2 linked regions of the Callithrix jacchus genome follow. The protein of the gene in region 2 interacts with the protein of the main gene of each other region in a pairwise test. Links are inferred from orthologs where the notes say so. Each region holds a gene or a part of one and is shown on either strand. Other genes may lie near its edges.

Region 1 (4,149 bases), on a different chromosome or scaffold from region 2:
TTTTTAGTAGAGACAGGGTTTCTCCATGTTGGTCAGGCTGGTCTCGAACTCCCAACCTCAGGTGATCTGCCTGCCTTGGCCTCCCAAAGTGTTGGGATTACAAGCATGAGCCACCGTACCCAGCCTGGCCTGCCTATATTTTAATACTTTATTTTTATTAAACCCTCTGCTGTCCAAAATGGCCATGAAGCCACCAGTTTGCAAACTCTGAACTGTGAAATCTTTTAGCCACTTCCCTGTCTTCTCTATTGGAGCCATCATTAGTACTTAAAAAGTACCTTCGAGTCAGGAAGTTCTGTTCTACGTATGAGAAACACAGCCATGCCCCTCTGGTCCACAGTTTCCTCATATGTAAAATGGGGCCACTCATGTCCACTCCCCAACCCTGTGCCTTGTGGTGAGACTGTTGCTCCCGGGATGACAGTCCCACCCCTCCTTTTAGGAACAGGCCTTTGAGAGCAGCCAGAAGTACAAAGAGGGGAAGTACATCATTGAACTCAACCACATGATCAAAGACAACGGCTGGGACTGACCCCAGCTCCTCGACGCATGTGGTTCCAGACCGGCCTGGCCGCCAGGGAGCGCCACCGGCTTCCCTCTGCCCGAAGGGAGCTCTGGACCCTCAGGGCCCCTGCAGAGGACGAATCCGGCTCCTGTACATATATTTTATTGCATGCACTGTGACCTTGGGGGGAGATCAGAAGGGGGACGACGCCCCCACACCTCCTGCGATCTGGCTGGCTTGGATCTCGTTTTTTACCCCTTCCTGCCCCGCCTGCCCTATAGATATGGCCTGTGTGCTGCTCCCCTGGCCCCAGTGCACCGTCTGCTCTGTGAACTTCTCCTCCCACCAGGCCCCTCTTACCCCACGCGTGTCTGCCCCCCTCGTTCTGTAGCGTTTGTACATAATAAAACAATGGAGTGGAGACAGCCCAGGCTCGCGTGCACTCCGGGAAGGGGGAATTCAAGCGGAGATTTCTGCCCCTATAGACCTGTGCGGTCTGAGCCCCAGCGGGGAATGGGGTAGGTACGGCCGTCCAAGCTGGGGCTCCAGGAACCGGGACGGTCTCACTGTCGGCGAAGGTCCTGAGCCCACACTGGCTGCCTACGCCTTGACCATGTTTGGTCTGCGTCTGCTCGGTTGCAGCTTTTGGCCTCCGCCTAGGGTCAGCGACCCCGGGAGGCAACCGCGTCCCCGACCCAGCAGACCCTCGCGGCCGGACTACAACTTCCAGCGGCCCCCGCGTGGTCCGTCCGGCTCCTTCGGGCGCTGGGCCTGCCGGGAAGTGTGGTTCCGAGGGTTCCTCAGAGCGGGACCTTCTGGGAAACCCTGGCGCGAGGCGTCAGAAGCTATCAGACTGTTTGCGCCTCTGAACTTTTGAGGCTTGGCCCAGGGTGGAGTTTTTTATTTTTTTAGCATGGGGACCAGGGAAGACTCCGGGACTAGGGCCTCGGCTGCGGCCTCCTCGCGGCCCCGAGATCCCTGTGAAATCAGTTCAGGCCGCGTCCCTCCAGCCTGCAGTTTCCTTCTGGTCATGCTGCTTCCCTCCAGGGCCTGTCCTCCAAGTGAGGGAGGACGGAGGGCGGTCACCTGCCAGAAGGTCTGGGGCGCGAAGGTGTGCCTCGGGACTCCAGCCTCCGTCCAGGTTCCAGGCCCCGCCCCCCAGCTTATCCTTAGGCTGGGCTCCCCACCGTGGGAACGGGGACCAGCTGGCCGGAAGCGCCAAACTGCGTCCCTGTCCGAGCCCGGGGGATCAATCAGGCCGAGGAGTTAATTATGTAATGAGGGGGCAGGGGGTCGAGGCTAATGAAGCCGCCCGGGGTGGGGAGGGAGTGGAGGAGGGAACCGTACCCAGGTATCCGGCCCCCTCTCGGACCCCTTCGAGGCCCCAGGGGTCTCCACCCCAGCCCAACTCCAGGGCCCCAAAGAGGGGAGGGGCTGTGATCCTAGGTCTGGAAGGGGCTGAGCTGTGAGCTATAAAGGGGGCATCTCACAGCACCGGGGGCTCTAGGCGGCGGGACCTGAGGCCAGACGGAACTACAACATGTACCATCCACGAGAGTTGTACCCGTCCCTGGGGGCCGGCTACCGCTTGGGGCCCCCCCAACCCGGGGCAGACTCCAGCTTCCCACCTGCCCTAGCTGAGGGCTACCGCTACCCTGGTGAGCGTTGGGACCAGCTCCTGGGTAGGAGAATGGGGGCACTGTGGCCCTCAGCTGGTTCCTCATTTTTCCCCGACTTCCAGACCTGGATACCCCCAAACTGGATTGCTTCCTCTCCGGGATGGAGGCTGCTCCCCGCACCCTGGCCGCTCCCCCACCTCTGCCCCTTCTGCCCCCTGCCATGGGCACAGAGCCGGCCCCATCAGCTCCAGAGGCCCTCCATTCCCTCCCTGGGGTCAGCCTCATCCTGGAGAACCGGGAGCTATGGAAGGAGTTCAGCTCTGTGGGAACAGAAATGATCATCACCAAAGCTGGGAGGTGAGGGGCTAGCCAGGGTCCGTGTTTCTGGTGGGGGGGTCTCTTGGGAAAGGCAGAGTCCCTGGGGAGGGGGATAGGTCTGGGAGGTTCTCTAAGGGGGTAGAGCTCTGCCTAGGCTTAGAATCTATGGCCTGGGGGTAGGGGGTACTCTGTGGTTGGAATCAGGAGTCATTCTGTGACAAGGGTCAAGGGTCAGTCTGTGGAGTCTGTGGCTGAGTTTAGGGACCAATCTATGGCAAGAGTCATAGGTCAGTCTGGGGCAGGGTCAGGAAGTCCCGCTGGCTTATAGGTTAGTGTGTGGCCTAGATCAGCGTTCAGACAAGGACAGGGGGTCAAGGGCCAGCCCAGTGACCAGCATCAGGGAAGTCTGGCGATTTGAGTAGGAGTCAGTATGTCGAGGTTCAGTGTCAGTATGCGCCTTGAATAGGAGTCAGTATATGACTAGGTTCAGGATCACCCTAAAGGCAGGGATGTGGTCAGTGTGTAGCCTGAGTCGAGATCTTCATCTAGGGCAGGAGCTCAAGCCCTAGCACGGGAAATCCTCAGCCTTACTGCAGGCAGCATATTTTTTCTGAAGGAAGTTCATATAAAAGCTGCAGATTCTGGTGTTGGAGTCAGGGGAGGAGAGGAGGGTGGGGACACGAAGCTCCTGGCAACATTTCAGGGAGAAAAGTTAGTCACCCCTGCTTCTGTAAATAGGCTTTGAAGGGTAGGAATCATGGCTGTCCCTAACCTGCCGTGTGACAGATCACCTAACCCATCTGTCCTGTTTCCCCAAATGTAAAATGAGAAAGAAAACCTTCCAGCTCTAAGATTCTGCCCTCTGGGTTCTTTTTTCCTTTATTATTATTACTATTTTTTTGAGACTGTTGCCCAGGCTGGAGTGCAGTGGCGTGATCTCTGCTCACCCCAACCTCCGCTTCCAGGGTTCAAGCGATTCTCCTGCCTTAGCCTCCCAAGTAGCTGGGATTACAGGCGCATGTCACCATGTCCAGCTAATATTTGTATTTTTAGTAGAGAGGGGTTTCACCATATTGGCCAGGCTGGTCTGAAACTTTTGACCTCTTGATCCTCTCACTTTGGCCTCCCAAAGTGCTGGGATTATAGGCATGAACCACCACACCTAGACCTTTTTTCATTTTTTAGAGACAGATCTTGCCTTGTTTCCCAGGCTGGAGTGCAGTGGTGCAATCATGGCTCACTGTAATCTTGACCTCCCAGACTCAAGTGACCCTCCTGCCTCAGTCTCTAGAGGAGCTGGGACTATCAGTGTGCACCACAGTGCCTAATTTTTTAATTTTTTGAGGCCGGGTGCAGTGGCTCACGCCTGTAATCCCAGCACTTTGGGAGGCCGAGGAGGGTGGATTACGAGGTCAAGAGATCGAGATTATCCTGGTCAACATGGTGAAATCCCATCTCTACTAAAAATACAAAAAATTAGCTGGGCACGGTGGCGCGTACCTGTAATCCCAGCTACTCAGGAGGCTGAGGCAGGAGAATTGCCTGAACCCAGGAGGCGGAGGTTGCGTTGAGCCGAGATCGTGCCATTGCACTCCAGCCTGGGTAACAAGAAGGAAACTCCGTCTCAAAAAAAAAAAAAAATTTAGAGATGGGGTCTCACTATGTTGCCCAGGCCGGTCTTGAACTCCTGGGCTAAGAGATCCTCCC
Region 2 (3,562 bases):
CTTCATTCGTTTAGACCAATTTTGAGTCACTGCATGCTGAATTTAATGTTTTAAAATATTTAATGTTTTAAAATATATTTTTTAATTCCCATATATAGATACAACAACCTGTGCAAGTTTCTTAGCATTGCCAAATATATATCCTTAGGGAGGGGCTGCTTTAATAATTTGATAAGGATGAATTCCAATGGCATAGCAATGGTTCATATAAAGTTGGATTTCTCTAAAGCAGTTGAAATAATTTCATTTTGTAAGTAGGTGAAATGCAGCCCTAGCAATCTGGTTTATTGTATTCCCTTGCTAAACTGCCTTCTTTATTAGTGAATGATGGAAAGAAAAGTTCCAAGCCAGACTTGCTGGGAATTTCATCCCTTCCAAATTGGCAAGGCATGAATTAATGATGTTTATCTATAGTTGGAAATGTACTAGAACTTTGAAGAACCCTCTTGGAGCTTAAGGGACCTGACCTGTGAGACTGAATCCCCAGGGAAGTTGCAATGTTGAAGGTGTCCTGGCCTCTCCCTGCCTCCATCCCTGACCCACTTTACCTCTCCTGTGACTTGCAGTTAACGCACCTGTGACGGTTGCTGACAAGAACATCCTGAAGCACACAGGGAATGTTTTCACTCCACACTTTGCTACAGCCTTGACCTCAGCAACCCTGAACCAGCCATTCTGGCTCAACCTGAACTATCCACCTCCACCAGTGTTCCCGAATCCCTCCACCTTCCTGCAGTATCAGGTCAGTGAGCGGGCCTGGCTCTCCTGTGGATATCCATGCTTTTTTTTTGGCCACAGAGGAGGTGTGGCTGGCAGGGGCCTATTTCACAAGGAGCCTCTAGACTCTTCTGAATGCCTTCCCTACATGGAAGAGGCTTCACAGGGGCTATGGTAGGACATTGTCAACTTGTCAGCTTGTCGGTTATTTTTTCACTGTAGTCGCATCAGACCTACCCCTCGGTTTAGGTGCGTGCATGCACACATCTACACACACATATGTATATAGAGTCCTAACTTTCTATTGTCTGAATTCCAGTCTACGCTGTGCCCTTCACTGACAGCCTTGTTTGGCTGGTTGTGGCTGGTTAAGTGCTTGGGCTCCCAGGAGAAGATGATATGGCAGTCCTTGTTTCCCACTTCCTTCCTGTGACTTCCTTTAAGGTTGGATGGCATATATCCTAGATTACTTGGGACATTCCCGATTTTGGTCTTCTGTTCCAAAATAATATTAATGGCATCCCTTTCACTCTCGTGTCCTGGTTTGGATAACAAATTACAGTCGGCCCTGTGTATCCATGGGTTCCACATCCTTAGATTCAACCAGTCTGGGTGGAAAATATTTTAAGAAGGAAATAATAAAAAACAACAATACAACAACAAAACATAATGCGAGTTAAAGATAATACAATGTAATAACTGTTCACATCATATTTACATTATTAGACATTGTTAGTAATCTAGAGATAAAAGGATACAGAAGCATTCGCATAAGCTACATGCAAATACTATGCCATTTTATATCAGGGACTAGAGCATCCTCATGTGCCTTTCTATTTTATTTGAGACAGAGTCTCACTCTGTCACCCAGGCTGGAGTGCAGTGGCACAATCTTGGCTCACTGCCATCTCTGCCTCCAAGGTTCAAGCGATTCTCCTACCTCAGCCTCCTGAGTAGCTGAGATTACAGACATGTGCACTACCATACCTGGATAATTTTTATATTTTTATTAGAGATGGGGTTTCACTATGTTGGCCAGGCTGGTCTCGAACTCCTGGCCTCATATGATCCATCTGGCTCAGCCTCCCAAAGAGCTGGGACTACAGGCGTGAGCCACGGCATCTGTCCCTCAAATGCCATTTTATACCGGAGACTTGAGCACCCTCAGATTTTGGTATCCACAGGGCGGAAGAGGGAGGGTGGCCTTAGAACCAATCTTCTGAGGATACCAAGGGATGAGTGTATATGGCCACCTTACTTAAACTACACCTAAGCAGTCTTAGCTTGTACGAACCAAAGTGACTTGGCACGCATTCTTGTTCTTGGACTCGTAGCTAAAGGAGAAAACTAGTGGCCAGACACAAAAGGATAGTAAAGCACCTCTAGCAGGGCTGGAAATTCTACTCACAGAACTTATTTATGCAGGGAAAATGTAGTTTCTTTATTTTGTCGATTTAACTTAATATCCCTTAAGAGCTACCACCCACTGGGTAGAAGGAGGGAAAAATTAAATAAATGTCCACTCTGGTTTAAGCCTTAGTCTAATCCAATAATTTAAATAGTCCCTTTAGGCAGGACTCAGTTTTTTCAGGAAAGATTCTCTGTGCCTAAGATTTCTGTCTTCTGTTCCCCTCACTGGCCTCTCTCCAGAATTGCATGTCGTTGTATGGGGGAAGGGCAGGAACTCAAACTTGTGCATCCGGGACCATGGCAATTTGCTGCCCCAGCCTGGCCCAGCACAGCCTGAAGTGAGAAAATAGAGAATGAAACACCTCTGACTCGGCCTGTCCTGTTGCTATGTTTTCCCCTCTCTCCACCCCTTGGAACCCTATGTCATTCTTTCCCTTATAACACAGCGCAAGCCTTATGTCCTATGGGGAAGGGGGATTGTCTCTTCTCCCATCAATGATAGACTGGACAAAGAAAATGTGGCACTGGCCGGGCGTGGTGGTTCATGCCTATAATCCAAGCACTTTGGAGGCCAAGGCAGATGGATCACCTGAGGTTGGGAGTTCAAGACCAGCCTGACCAATATGGTGAAACCCCATCTTTAAAAAAAAGAGGAAAACGAAAATGTGGCACATATACACCATGGAATACTACACGGCCATAAAATACAATGAGTTCATGTTCTTTGTAGGGACTTGGATGAATCTGGAAACCATCATTCCAGCAAACTGACACAAGAAAACCAAACACCCCATGTTCTCACTCACAGGCGGGTGTTGAACAATGAGAGCAAGTGGACTCAGGGAGAGGAGCATCACATACTGGGGACAGTTGGGGGGGCTAGGGGAGGGACAGCAGGGGGTGGGAAGGGTGAGTAGGGATAACATGGGGAGAAATGCCGGATATAGTATGTACTTATGCAACAACCCTGCATGACCTGCACATGTACCTCAGAACCTAAAGTAAAATAAAAAAATGAAAAAACAACTCTTCAAGCTGACCCGCCAGACTTAGCTCCTGAATCTTAAAAGAACTTAGCAAAGCCTCTCTGTTTTGTTTTCAAGCTTTTTGCTTGTATGTTTGCTAAAGAGAACAAGTACCTATCCCCTCCCCAGGGAGGGAGAGCTCATGCCTCATTGTGGAGGTGAGAGGTTGTGATGAAAGTGACCTAACAAGGAAGCCAAAATGAACTAGTTTCATTTTAGTAGTCTATTGTCCTTACACAGGTCTTGGAATGTCCTGTTCGGTGAGTCACTAACTCCTTTACCAACATGCTTCTACCCTTGCATTTTTGTTTGGTTATTCACTATTCATTTATTCACCTACTTGCGATTTACTCACTTCTATGTATTTATTTACTCATTCATTTAAGTAATTTTGAAAATCTTTGCTCCCT

The links.
Region 1: the proteins of C7H1orf94 (region 2) and TBX6 interact in binary tests that used the Homo sapiens proteins (3 or more experiments, as listed by UniProt). The link is inferred for Callithrix jacchus from reciprocal best matches to the Homo sapiens genes C1orf94 and TBX6.

The regions. Positions count from the first base shown.
Region 1 is NC_133513.1:29,427,806-29,431,954, forward strand, and holds the start of TBX6 (T-box transcription factor TBX6), read left to right. Parts: upstream 1-1,288; 5' UTR 1,289-2,045; coding exon 2,046-2,163; intron 2,164-2,246; coding exon 2,247-2,481; intron 2,482-4,149. UniProt on the Homo sapiens protein: T-box transcription factor that plays an essential role in the determination of the fate of axial stem cells: neural vs mesodermal. Acts in part by down-regulating, a specific enhancer (N1) of SOX2, to inhibit neural development.
Region 2 is NC_133508.1:70,759,564-70,763,125, forward strand, and holds part of C7H1orf94 (uncharacterized protein C1orf94 homolog), read left to right. Parts: intron 1-566; coding exon 567-742; intron 743-3,562.